2 linked regions of the Styela clava genome follow. The protein of the gene in region 1 interacts with the protein of each later gene in a biochemical or structural test. Links are inferred from orthologs where the notes say so. Each region holds a gene or a part of one and is shown on either strand. Other genes may lie near its edges.

Evidence for each region.
Region 2: of the proteins of serine/threonine-protein kinase greatwall-like (region 1) and cAMP-regulated phosphoprotein 19-A-like, one has a biochemical effect on the other in vitro, tested with the Drosophila melanogaster proteins (2 studies listed by BioGRID). The link is inferred for Styela clava from reciprocal best matches to the Drosophila melanogaster genes gwl and endos.

The regions. Positions count from the first base shown.
Region 1 is NC_135257.1:23,351,047-23,358,543, forward strand, and holds the start of serine/threonine-protein kinase greatwall-like, read left to right. Parts: upstream 1-4,412; 5' UTR 4,413-4,474; coding exon 4,475-4,654; intron 4,655-5,588; coding exon 5,589-5,726; intron 5,727-7,389; coding exon 7,390-7,497.
Region 2 is NC_135252.1:10,593,970-10,601,615, forward strand, and holds cAMP-regulated phosphoprotein 19-A-like, read left to right. Parts: upstream 1-4,446; 5' UTR 4,447-4,585; coding exon 4,586-4,906; 3' UTR 4,907-7,259; downstream 7,260-7,646. Other genes in the region: dihydrolipoyl dehydrogenase, mitochondrial-like, read left to right, coding at 7,314-7,646.

The sequences.
Region 1 (7,497 bases):
ACATGACGCATAAGCGACATCGTGTTATTATGTGAGTTTGAGAGAGAGAGAGAGAGAGAGGGTTTATTATATTTGCCAAGCCCAGAAAGCAAAAAATATGCATATGTAGGCCTACAGTATATAAATTTTAAATAAAAATGTTTTTGCTATGTGGCTGTGAGGCAACAATACGAACTTTGAGGGTTATCAGGGGCAGTTGCCATGATATGTCATGATGAATCTGAATACCATGAGTTCAACTAGTAATTGAGTATCCAAAGAATTGCAAATACGAAACAACAAAATTATAATTAAAGGATGTACGAGCCAAATAAAAACTTTGAGTAAGTTTAAAACGTACAGACAAAATATTTGTGGATAATATGAATGTTATAGACTATAGAGGGACACATGCTTGCTTACACGTAAAGTAAGATATTATTTTCTCCTTGTTAACTGTTTATTGCTATGACTTATTTATTCATCTCTTTCCTAATTCATCGCACTATCTTTAACTTTATTCAACACGACGTATTGGAAAAAATAAATGTATATCCTATTATTGGACCTTTGTTCGTCATCCGCTTCTCAAGTCCCTAAACACGGTGGTGGCGCTGAGACGAGTCATGTTGGGCCAAGTTTATTTTTTCAACCAGTAAATAAAAAAAATCAATCATACACCAATTGCGTAAAAATTTCACATTTTTTCTGAGAACGGAAAGTCGTGGGGAACCAAACTGGTTATCGATCATTGGCATACAAGGTTTTAATAATCTAATTAGGGATGGGACGAGTCCGGCATTACAGAGATTCGACGAATCCGAGTAATAGGTCAAGGACTCGAATCGAATCTGCCGAGTCCGTGATGTCATAACAGAAAAGCAGAAAACACGTTTTTGACCATGCTACAGCATTGTGCGCTCACAAATATACGTCGTAGCTCATATTTTTTGCTTAATGGTTTCGCAGATAGCTGTTGAATCATTTTAAAAATATATTTCCCTCTTTTTGGCGGCCATAATACAAACGTAAACGTGGGTTAATGTGCGCCTTGGCTGTGAACTGGATTTCTAGCCCACCACCTTGCGTCAATTCTGATCGGCTATTCAGATATTCTTACATGTTAATAAGAAAAATAAAAAGCTTTTGACTACAATGTTTTCCCATAATTCCAGATATTTCTAGCCGGGAATTTAGTATGTCACGTGCGCATATAGTAGAGAAATGACACTCGTCGTCAATACATTGTGGTACATCTGCTTGCAATTTAGTAGTTCATGTAAACGTTCTAAAACTCTCCATGCTTCCCACTGCCTTTTTAGCGAAAGGATTGCCCGTAATAAACTCGATTTAAAATTAAAAGAAGTATTGATGAGATTCCCCATTGGGTTGATCCAGGGCATGTTTCATTTTTACGCGAATCAAAAACTCAAAAATATTGCGCTAACACATATTTTATTGTGTATACCGGAAACGATAGATAGTTTGAAGGCGACTGGCGCAACATCATTCTTATAAGCGATCAATAGTTTTTAACTTACGTTATATTATCCGAGTCCGGATTCGAATCCCGGCCCATCCCTAGTTCTAATACGTGATAAGGAAAATTAGGAATTTTAGATTTTCGAAACTGCTGTTATTATTGGTGACTATATAAATTTTGCGAAATATCCAACTTAATTAATAGAGATTGTTATGGTACTAGTGATTATATTGAACAGGTACAATATCAACGGATGGACGAGGACTCGATAGTTTTTCGCCATTCGTCAATTAGGAAATTATTGTATGTCTGTTTAATTTATTGACATTTTTTTCAATATTAAATATGATATATTATATATATAATATACAGGCATATATTTTTGTTCAATTATACCAGTACAATGTTTCAAGCGCAGCGTAATTAATCGTGCGCGACATATAACTATCTGGCAACTATCCTTTTTCGCTTTGTTGTGATGTTGAGGCGGCACTTTTGAATTTTTTAATCAAGGTCGGATTCGCAGATTTGCTTCTCAGATTAAGTGTTTATTTTGAATTGTTTATGAGTTGGGAATGGCATGCAGTTATAGCATGAAGTGTTCAGGATTTGTTTTAAGGGTGAGTAAACCCAACTAGGCTTTATATTTCAGGGATATAGACTAAGTTAGATACAGAAGTTATGAAGTCTTGAATAGGATTTAGGATAGGATTTACATATTTATCCCGGGGGAGAGGAAAGCCGATAAGACGGCTTATCCATATGGCGAACCACGGCCTCTCGTCCGGTTACCATTCCAAGTCGGGTATGGGATTAGTTTTTACTGTATTGTTTGTTTTCGGAAGCATGGACTTGGTGGTGGAGGAAGCCGTAACCGACCAGCGGTTACGTGAACCACCCAACGACGGCGAGGAGTCCAGCAATCCTCTCGCACATAACCATCCCTGCATGGGATTCGAACCTGCGAACCCACGCAGAGTAATTAGAGGTGCGGTGGCGAGCGTATTCCTAACGCTTAGCCCGTTGAGCCACACCGCGCGCCATCTGCCGTCTCGACTTCAGTTACGGTACCGTAGTCCTGTAGTCGGTCAGTCATTCATCATGATTCATGTGTGCTGCGGTGCTGGTGTATACCGTACCCGTATGCTCTTTTTCATCTTTTTTGTATCAATACCAGATAACCCAGCTTAAAATAAATTATCTTACATTGCCACAAAACCATGTTTCCATTCTATGCTTACGAAAAAAATTCCGGTACCATACTGTACGTAACTGGCTCATACCCCACATTCCATAGGTCTGTAGGTACGGTACCCGACATGAACTGGTACGGTAACTGGACGAGAGGCCCTGGCTCGCCATATAACTGTATAATTAAGTTGCCTTTTCGCTGGGATGAATACCGGTACTGCAGTACAGCAGTAGGGTGGTGTAGCCAGTCTGCGGACGATTTCTTCCAAACCGCTATAAAACAAAAACCAATATTTCTAACCCGTTAATTTTTTCACCGTAGGTGCATTGGCATTTATTCTACACGTTAAACCTCGAGTTAAAGCTATACAAACCGACAAAGTACGACACTCTGAAGACGTATTTGCGACCGAACGACCAGTGTGCGACCACGCATTTCAGGCCTTGAACATCGTTTCTGCTGCGTGGAGACTAGGGCATACGCAGCCATGCGTGAAAAAAAAAGCTTCTAATTGCATTTCTGACCGTGATATATTTTAAGAACACGGTTATTTCGAACAAAACTTGTCAAATTATAAACAAAGCACCACATCACAGCAATCAAACAGACAAAAACACGGTGGTCGCAAATTGGTCGACGAAGATATTATCGACGTCTTGGAAATGTGCATCCCTTTATTCCCCCTCCTTTAAATGTAGAAACGCGAAACTTTAAAGATGGTTAAAAGAAACACAACTCTACCCACCTGCCAAGTTTCATTTCTTTATCTCTTATATTTGTAAGGATTTTCAAGCTTTTTTAAAGGAACAATGGGTAGTTGGCGACATGAAAAATGGTTCGTTTTTTTTAGTGTAATTTCGCAGAACTACGGGGGATAAGTGAACGATAACGTGTGAGAAATATCGTCGCGGTTCTTTAATTTTTTCCTTATTAAATTAATCGATGAAGTTGATGGTCGCAAATAGGTCGTGGCCGCAAAGTGGGTAGGCCACCCTATATGTAAATCCCATGCTATTCCTGTATTCTGCTATTGCTTGAATGTCTAAAGCTGTAATAAGTTCATAAGTATAAGCCTTATTTTTGAGCCAAAAAGATTCTCACAAAATGTGTATGTCTAGTTTATATTTTTAAAGTAATCGGAAGCATTTAGAAAATAGGTTTTTACAAGGGTGTGATTTTGTTATTTTTTGCACAGCTTTTTCATATTTTAGCATTGAAAAATTAAATATACCTTATTACAGTATGGTAGGGCACACTATCCAAATTCCAAAATTTGGATCAATAAAACAAACACCCCATGTGTCACACAAACGAGGGGCGTCTGGCATGACGGCAGATGCGTCATATTGCAACACGCTTGTCTCAATAATTAAGTATTCTAAATAAATCGTGGCCGTCACATGATCAGAATCCTGTTTTTTGCTAAAAACTCTCGAATGCCACAGTAGAAAATTTTTTTCTTCTGTAAATTGGATTTTTTTTCGAAAGGAATTCAATGATGACGTTTTTAGATTGCGCTTCTTTGTATTTTTTTGCGCAACTTCATTTTACTGTATTAATAAACTAACAAACTACACCAACTACAGATGCCTAAAGGAGTGCCTGATTTTGGAAGAAACTACTGACGATGCATTTTGTTTGCGATGAATTCATTGTGATTTGTGAATCCTAGAAATATAGTTGTAATATAGTTGCACCAATGACTCTTTGAGAGCTATTTTCCCATATTTGACTTTCAATTTTATCAAATTATTTCCAGACATTAACAGTTTAGCCTGTCATGCTCCAGTGGTTTTTGTCGAGATTCCATTTCGATTATCATGGTTGACATAAAAGAGAACACTGGCGCATCCATATGTGGAGAGTCCATGGATATGTCGGCTGCCCCTAAACCGCCCGATGTCAACGACTTTGTTATTTTAAAACCAATAAGTCGAGGAGCATTTGGTTGCGTACTGCTTGGAAAAAGAAAAACCAACAGCAAGCTATATGCTATAAAGGTGAATCTTTGCTTAGATTGTTACTTATCGATTTTAATCGGTAAGTCTGTTTGTCTGTCTGTATGTCTGTCTGTTAGATGCATGCGACATCTCACGAAAGCGAGATTGAATCTGCTCCAGATTTTGCATGTGCAATCATAATGTCGGACCAGGAGCCTATTGATTTTGGATGAATTATGTCGTATAATTAGCGAGTTATTAATCTGTTTTGGGGGATCCCCTAACTTTCAATCGATAAGTCTTCGGTCTCTGACCGATATTCTCGTTATATTTCTTGTAGTCTCAATAATATAATTTCAACGACTATCTTTCTTTAGTCCCCTTCATTATGCAGAAAGTTTTCAGCTAATGAGTCAACTTAACGAGTAAGCTGTGGCCAATTTTTAGCATTAAAAATAAAGGCTTTTCCATATTACAAAGTTTTCATCCTTAATAAAGTCACTAAAAAGCAATTAATTTTTTTTTTTAAAGTTTTTGCTCCAAATTTTGCTGTTGTTGATAATTCACAGCATATTTTCATACCCCACTCTGTATAATTTCATTTCACTTATAATTGGAATTTTTCTCGCATTGCAGTCTCCATATTAGTCATTACTTATCGATTTTGATTACCGTATGTTGATAGGTATTTGTCTGTTTGTTTGTCTGTTAGACACTTTCGTATGTTACGCGATATCTCACGAAAGCGAAGATGAATCTGCTTCAAATTTTGCATGTGCATTCATCATATCTCGGATCAGAAGCCTAATGATTCTGGATGAATTATGTCATATAATTAGCGAGTCATTAATTAATTAGTGATGGGGCACGCAGTGTCGCTGTTGAGTCAGAGCGAAGGATACACGCCACTAGATCGATAAGTCGGCGGTCTCTGATCGCTATCTCGTTTGACTATTAACATGTATTTGAGCATTTCTCTCTTGTTTCAACACAGGTTATGAAGAAGAGCAACATGGTCCGTAAAAACATGACGAAGAACGTCGTTTGTGAGCGCAACGCCCTCGCTTTGAGCAAGAGTCCGTTTATTGTACACTTGTACTATTCATTAGAGACTCATGATGACATTTATCTGGTAAATAATTTTGCAGAACTTTCATTCTTTTTTTCCTCAACTTAAAGCATTGGACTTGATATGTAGGCATTGCAGTTGAAAAAATCTTGGATATGGATACAAGGTGTAATGAATTGGATAGGCGGTGCCGAATCTGCCGATTCCAATCCTTCCGAATAAAGTAGCTCCATACCTAGGAATAACCAAAGCGTATATATGATACAAGCGAGGCAACGCTCCGACAATGGACGCCATCTTGTGCCTATTGTTCTCGGCCATCCAACACGACGCCTTATGAGAAGTTTGCACACAATCATTGAAACATACCTATTATTTTCACTAATATTTTAGGTAGAAAAATTTAGAAGGTCGCGTTTTGAAGGAGAATCTTAGCCTAACACGTTGATATTCTTCCATGTTTGCCAAATTACATTTACAGTACATTAAATTGTCCTTGAAGACAAGTATACCAGTTCCGAGTTGCTTCTGAAGTAAGTTGGCATTTCCAATCGTCATAATCAACCATTTGACAATTCCCATGCCTAGGAACATCACAGATGAAAAGCTGTATTTATTCGTCGAAATTACCGGCCGACTCAACTTCGCTTCAATGGCTGTTTCTATTTTCTGGTTTACATTTTTCGTCTGTCAAGCTCCAAGCTGCGCTAGAAGAACAAATGACATTGTATGATTGTTGCGAAGACATTTTACAGCGTCAAATTGGTGTATCACTATAAAATCTTTGAAAAAATGACCAAAAATGGTTCTACGTTGTGTTTGTGGCCAAATTTAACCCATTAGATAGTTTTTTATTCCTAATTGCGTTATATATTTAAGTAGCATATAGCTTAAAGTTCAAAACCCACCCTTCGGCTTCATTCTAGCCCTTATGACAGCTGATTTATTCGATTTGGTACAACAACACGAAGAAAATTTCTCATAAGACTCCATTGTTTCGTGTTTCCCAAATATGGCACAAGATGGGGTCCATGAACTTGTTTAACATAAACAAGTTGGTTGCCGGCCATTGGGAATAACTGCTTACATAGAGCTGTGTTTAAAAATCATTGGTACAAATCCTAGAGTGTAATAAATCGGATAGGCAGTAGTATGGAATCAGAAAGAGTCCAATCCTTCTAAATGAAGTAGCTCCATGCCTAGGAACAACTGCTCACCCAGAGCCATGTTTCGGTGAAAGGAATGAAAGCTTCATGTAAAAATATGTACACATCTCAATTTAAGCTGATGACAGTAGGCTATATCAGGGTGTCTATCGGTATCTTTGGGCTCAATGACTGAGATTTAAATGTGTTGGTATTGCTGACTACATGGACCACTGCTTGTCCGATGAGAAACGTCCTGCAAAGGTGGTTTCCGCTTTCTGTACCTAATTTTAGCAATTCGGAAATTAGCTGAAAAACGATTCGAATAATTTGCGATTTGATTTCGAATATTTGGTTCGCTTGGACATCCCTAATTGCTGACTACATTGACTAGTTATTATTATGGGGCAATGCCAATGTGATCTTTTCGAAAATACTAGCTACATCAGTGCCTGCCTACCCGTGATCTTATTTGAACCAAAATATGTGAATTACCGGTAAGCGTTATTTTGGAAAATCCTACTCAAGTTACATTGGAAATCTTTGTGTGAGCAAATAAGTCAAGAAATGTTGCTTTTCAGATCATGGAGTACGTGATTGGGGGGGATGTAAAAAGTTTAATTAGCGTTCTTGGATATTTTGATGAAGAGATGGCTGTTCTGTACATCGCGGAAGCTACGCTGGCTTTG
Region 2 (7,646 bases), on another chromosome or scaffold:
TTTTTGCGTTATGGTGTTATATGCCTATTTTTGCACCTAACGTATCCTTTCAATTCATCATTTTGCAAAAAAAAAACGTACCGACCGTTCCGTAAATTTGGAAACGTCAAACCAGATTAGGTATTTAAAATAAATTTCCCAGATTTACACTCGGCATGCTTGGTGGCATGTCATTAGCCACTTCTTGCATTACCAAACCTAAACTTGCTCAAAATTAAATGTTAAAATGACTTTTAGGCGTTTCATTGTGAAAAAGGCGATTTTAGGTCGTTAAAACACTCTATTTATGTAAATAGCATGGATTTAAAAATGACCAAAAGTTTTTCCAAAAGCTGGTATGAGTTACTTGTATGGAAAACACTCATTAAGTTGTAACCGGATAAGAAATGTCATGTCCTACTCCCTTTAAAGCACGGACTCGTTCACGAATTGTTGCTTCTATTATCATCGAAAATGATTACAATTGTTAAATTTTGAAGCATTTGGGCAGTAATAATTAAGCCTCAAGGTATGACATAATCGAAATCATTAAGCGAAGTGCTGAATTTGCAAATTCCGTAAAGAAAATTGAGCATTACTCAGTAAGTATTTTAGCTATAATAACCATCGGGGTGTTGTTTTGTTGAAAAAAAAACGATAAAACTTGAAGGAATTAGGTATAATTAGAGTCTGACCCTCTATTAGGCACAAAGGCCTAGAAATGCCTTTATTGCCAATTTATTTAATCGCTATTTTAAATCAACATGCAGGATTCACGCAAACGTAAATTTGCTAGGTTTATCTATCTAATACTAAAATAACACGGACACCATAGAAAAGCATGAGAAACTCAAATATCATTATAATAAATATCTACATTTCGGTTACCGTTCACTTTAAACATGCAGGGTTAATTTACAAGCGGTGATAAGGAAGATCGAATCCAAGGCAGAGGATAAAACTCAGAATAGAATTAATTTGGTTCCAAAATTAGTCCTTAAATGTATTCAACAGCTGTCGCTGATGTGAACGCAAGGGTATACTAGAAATATGAAATTTTGATATTCAGCGACCGCTTATTCTTGCAAAACCGAGAAAGGGCGGAAATATAGAATACCAACTTTAGGATATCGCCGCCAAAACGATCGCGGTGACAAAGACAATCAGCAATTATGATAAAATTACCCATTAAAAAACGCTTTATTGCCGACTTTTTAATGTTTCTATTAATTTCCAAACGGAGTATCGACCTCCGAAGTTCTGGATCCCTGTTATGTATAAAAAAAATATTCAAATTATTCGATTCGAAAAAAATTCCATTTTGCCCACCCTAGCCGAACCGCTATTTATTTAGGCTTTGATTTCTGATAAGTTTTCAAAGCGGGTCGTAATCGTTGAGGATGTAAGGTGCAGTAGCTGCTTGAGATAATCGCCACATTTTTCGAGACTATTTTCGATTACTGGAACAAAATTAAAATGCTATAGAAATTAAAATAATCATCGAGTTATTTGATTTATACATAAGATCTGGAAATGCGACAAAAACTGAAAATCCACGAAAGCAAGCCAATGATTACAGCCATGTCTAAAAATCTTTCCAAGTGAAAAGTGTCCGATTGGCCGCGAAAACGCTCACTGTTGCGTCACTATTGCATCTTATAGGTTAGTCAACACTACGCAAATAAACACGGGGAAATCCATTCGACTAACTAATAGACTTCAGCATTTTAATTTCGAGTCAATGATTAGTTTTCAATGAAAAATTTCCTTTGAAAATAATTAATTTTTAAAACATTTACGGGAGCCGCAGGAAAGGTTGTTGAGAGCCGCATGCGGCTCTCAAACCCTAGTTTGAGAATCACTGATTTAGAGGGTCTTACTCGCGCTATTTTGCGCTCTTTGCGGTGTTTCGCGCTGTATTCAGTAAGTAGTAAGACCGGCTAAAAACACGCGAATCCTATTCTCTCGCGGGGGTGGGGACATGTATGGCTCATAGCTCACGATCTCTCCAGACAAAAAATTAATTAAAAAGTAGTATTCCAGCTTAACTTTTAAAACATTCTGAACCATATCAAAAAGGTAAATATATCGGAAATATCGGCCTTAATCTAATCGATACCGATACATGGCCGATATAAGTATATAAGTATAAGTTTATTTCGACTCCATAATCAGCATAACAATACATTTGACAGATAAAAACAAATAAATAAAATCTGATTATGAAATCAGGGGAGCAAACAAAACCTTAGATAAGGTTTATAACGTACAAAATATAAGATGAAAGGTTTTGCCAAGAGGAAGTGGTACGTGTTTACTCACCTAAAATTATCAAGTTATTTCACACACGCTCACATGCACCCACCAGCCACACACACACACAACCACTGAGAAGTTATTTAAGTAAGAATGAAACGCGATAAATTTAGGGTATACTATACAGTAAACAAAAAAATAAATAAATAAATACTAGAAAAGAAAATTATCTGCCACACCATATTGATATTTTTGTAATGGTTGCCATTGCCAAATTGATCGATCTTCTAATCGTTAATTAGGTATATAAAAGGAAGATACTATTGAAAACGATACGAACGATACCGAAAAATGGCCGATATTGCCGATACATCGGTGCATCTCTAATCGGTACCGGTACCGTACATCTCTGGTGAGAGGGAGTTTGCACTTTTTTGTGGCTTTTGAGCCAGACCACGGAGAAATTGGGTCCAGGCCACGGTCCACGGAGAAAATCACCCCTGTTGTCTCTGGTGGTACTATAACTGTATAACGGTACCGGTACTGACAGACTAATGTGCCTGTCAGAGGCATAGGCAGATAGGCTTGTGTCGGTACGGTAGTCTGGTAGTGGCAATTTGGCCTTTGGGAAAGCAATTGGGGTCTAGTATAGTTTAGTACCACAAGTACTTCCGGTGGGCGTAGCATAACGAATTTTGGGGTCTGGTATAGTTTAGTAGCACATCCACTTCTAGTTAGCCTGGCTCAACAATTTTTGCATATGTCATTCCTAACCCTCACCTGACTATGTCACCAAAACAGTACGTCACTACGACGCCACAGTGGCGTAATAAACGGAATACCTAATCTAGCAAGCTATTTCTCTCGTTTTCTCGTCGCAACGATCCCGATATGAGAGAGACCGCTGGCGTTAGTGAGTTCGGTATTGTCGGTGCAGATGCCATTTCGGGCGATAGTAGCTATACTTGACAAGCTCTATGACGGGATTGTGACGACGTAGTGACGTAATTTTTGGATGATACCGGTATAGTCAGGTGAGGGTTAGAAATAACATATCCAAAATTCGTTATGCTACGCCAAACGGAAGTACTTGTGGTACTAAACTATACTAGACCCGAATTTTGCATATGCTATTCCGAACCCCCACCTGACTATGCCATCCAAAAATTACCTCACTACGACGTCACCATCACGTCATTGGGATTGCCAAAGTATAATTAGGGTCGCCCGAAATGTCATCTGCGCCGCCGATAACGAACTTGCTAAAGCCGGCGATGTCTCTCCTATCCTGATCGTTGTGACGAGAAATTGTTTGCTCGATTTTGGGTGATCGTGTGCGCGTTTTGGACGACCACCCGCATACTTCGGTGGGTCTTATTACGCCACTGTGACATCGAAATGACGTAATTTTCGGTGACGTAGTCAGGTAGGGGTTGGGATTGACATATGCAAAAATTGTTGAGCCAGGTCAACTAGAAGTACATGTGGTACTAAACTATACCAGACCCACAAGGGTTTCGTGCAGTTTCGTACCTAACGTACCGGTACTTCTAGTGGGCGTAGCATAACAATTTTTTGATATGTCAATCCTATCCCCCATCTGACTACGCCATCCAAAAATTACGTCACTACGACATCACAATCACGTCATAGAGCTTGCCAAATATACGTACGATCGCCCGAAACGCCATTGGCGCCGGCGCTAAAGAACTGACTGACGCTATCGATCTTCCTCGGATGGCAGTTCATATAGTTTGAAGGGCTCTATTACGTCACTGTGACGTCGTAATGATGTAATTTTTGGATGGTGTAGTCAGGTGGCGGTTAGGATTGATACGTGAAAAATTTGTCATGCTACGCCCACTAGAAGTATGTTAGGTATGAAACTACATGAGACCCCCCCCCCTAACGCCACTCTCACGTTAGCGAAATCCTACATAAAAATATACGATGTCATAAAAGTGTGTTCCCACTTTGCGAAGTAGGCCTATTTCTAATCAATAGCCACGGAAACCCTAACCCTAACAAAATTTTAGACCTCATTTGCTTATTGCAATTAAAAATATTTTTTATTCATAAATTTTATAATGAAACACTTTTTAAGACATCGTATTTTTGAGCAGCAGGATTTCGCTAGCGTGACAGAGGTCCCCTAACAATAATAACAGCAGTTTAGGACTGCTGCGTTATACTAGGACAGTGTTTCCCAACCCGAGTCCGCGGTCTCAAATGAGTCCGCTGAGCATTTGAATGGCATTACTGCATTAATTTTATCATTGGGTATTTTAGTTAATTAGCATAACTACTGATAATCCTGTGCGGTAAACCATATATTATCTAGAATTCCAATATGTCAGAAGGACAGCAAGAAACTGGTGATTTTAAGAAACCAGCGACACCCCCTGTTTCAGTTGAAAAACAGCAAGAGGCAATGTTGATGACGAAATACAAAGATCTTCCACCTAAAAAAGGAGGATTTCTGCAACAACGCCTCGGTAGTCAAAAGAAATTTTTTGATTCTGGTGACTACAACATGGCAAAAGCAAAAATGGGAGGCAAGAAGATACCAGCACAAGTCGAACCTAAAGAAGTAACAGGGGATCACATGCCAACTCCTGACGAACTGCCTCAAGTACGAAAACCTTCACAGAGCAAGTTAGCAATGCACTGACTTTTACCTGGTGGAACACTGGAAAGACTATTGTGATTCTTTTCAGAATCTCTTACTTTTTATTTATCACTATTTGCAGATTTGCATCACAATTACATGGCAAGCTTGTCCTCAATATGTTACTCTTTGCACACAGAGGTATTGAGTAATGTGATTGTGTTCGTAACACAGAATTGCAAACTAAGATGTAAATTAGGGATCCTATTATGATGTAACATGCTTGCCTCAGGAAAATATGTTATATACATTGAATTGTATATTTTGAAGTTTATTTCTGCCTTCCATTGTTGCTTTCTCTGTGTGTGCAAGTATGATGTTTTTAGGTAGATGACTGCCTTCTACAAAATCAGGTATACCTTTTGGTATCATATCCTAGAATTTATTTTTGATGGATGATATATTGATATGCTCATTTAGAAATAGTGTTATAACGGGAATAATAATAGTCGTTCATCTGAATTTCCATGTTCCGCAATTGCAAAACTTATTGGATTCACTGCTGTGAAGTTCCAACTGATTTGTTTTGTTTTAAAGCATTTGAATAATCTAAGTTGATATATTTCTAGCGGAATCACTATTATTTGTCTTATATGTATATCACACTGTCGAAATGCCTTTTCGAATTTAGAAATGTGAATGGTTTTTAATTTAAAAAAAAAACAATTTTTTCAAACCTTCTTGTGTGTGATTTGAATTGATGGTAATGATATCCTGAAATACAAGGAAAACAACATTTATATGTTTGGCTGCTCGCAAAAGCATATCATAGTCATATTGTAAAGAATAAAAAAAATAGATATAAGTGCGTGTAGTAGAAGGAAGAAATCAATATATGGCAACATAAACTTTTTTCATTTTTATTTGACATGATTTTGTAGTTCTTTTTGTTCGGTAGTGGTATTGGGACTTTTCACCATGGCTTTCTTTATTTTCCCTATCGGATGATTATAATTGTTTGCAATGTTTGAGGAAAACAATTTCTTTTTGTTCTGGTTTAATAATTTCGTTCATGTTTGTATTATTTTTGTAACAGAAGTAGAATAAAATACTTTTTATGATCTGTGTAACCGGTAATATTATGTTCCTCACTCCAATTTCATCAAGCAGTTAAGAATTATTTTTGCATCCGACTCTGTGGAACAAGTTATATACTCTGACAAGAGTAGAATGTTGACAGTCATGTATTTATATTTAGTGAAAACTATAATTGCTAATAACGTCATTCAATGAGTGAGTTTTCTAATTACCGCAAATGGCAATGTTTAATGTATTTGCATCAGGAATCTTTATGGTTATAATTTGTGGTATCCCCTTGAGAATGAATTTCTGACTTTATGAGAAGCTATGATATATGTTGGTGTTGTCTTCATTTTCCTATGTACATTATTTCATTCACTTTATTATTATGTTGAGATGCTTTATATTTGGCTTCCCAAAAACTTTAAAATTTCATTTTAAACAACTATTCTTAAGCGAAAGTAGTATTTAGAAAATTTGTGTATATTTATTAAATTCTGTCATATTATTGACCTGCTGAAAAACTTTTCTGAAATTGAGATATTTCTAATTATGTTGTGTGGTTCGTGATTCAATATAGATTGAATAGATATAGATACATTGTTTTGAGATCTTATTTGTTCACTGAAACGAAAGCAGAAATACATACTTATGTGTCGAATACTTGTTTGTTTACCCAGTTGTTCTTTTTTTATTATAACATTCTTCTTTTTGATTGTTTTCTTCTTGTTTTCTCTGGTTTATAAATGCAGCTACTTCGGCATTTTTTCCACATAAATATGCTCATACGAGTTTGAGTTCTCTGTAATTCATTTTCTTGTTGAATGTGCTGAATTTTGCCATTGTTCATCAAATCATGATATCGGCAAATTTTTGTGAGAAATTTATTATAAATCCTGATCTTTCTGAAAATGCAAAATTTCAACTGCATAACTTAGATTTGGATTTTCCAAAATATAAAAACATCTTTTCAATTGTCGATTGTTTTTTCAAATTTTGTAAACTTGTAATATTGGTCACTTTATTTTCATTTATAAATAGCCTGTTGTGGCAGAAAATTTTTCCACTTTTTGTATCTTATGCCCTATTTGTCAATTCATTGTGTAAAATGTGAAACTTGGAAAACTTTCCTATTGCTCTGAAGATATTTTTGAAGGCTGTATTGTACAAAATTGAATTAGTATTTACATTCAGTGGTGGCAAATTTGTGCCAGCGGCTGCTTTGATTTGATAGGTCCTGTGTTTTAACTTCACAAACTTCTTTCTGATATAAATGGCTAATTATAAATGACACAGATTTAATTATTTCTGCATTTGAATTGTCCTTTTTTGCAGATTTTTATGCTGTACTTATTTAGTAATCTAATTTATTGTTTATATTTAAGCCAAAATGTTCAATTTAAAACTGAATTCTGCATTAGCTCGTAGACTTTCGAAAGGTTCCTCACTTGGTTTCAATTGCTTGAATGCCAGGACAAATGCAACGGCCACTCATGATGCCGATTTGACAGTGATAGGATCTGGACCAGGCGGTTATGTCGCTGCTATCAAAGCTGCCCAGCTAGGAATGAAAACTGTTTGCGTAGAAAAGAGTCCAACCCTAGGTGGGACATGTTTGAATGTTGGGTGTATACCATCGAAAGCTCTTCTAAATAATTCTCATTTGTACCATCTTGCACATGGAAAAGATTTTGAATCCAGGGGGATTGAAGTTTCCAATGTT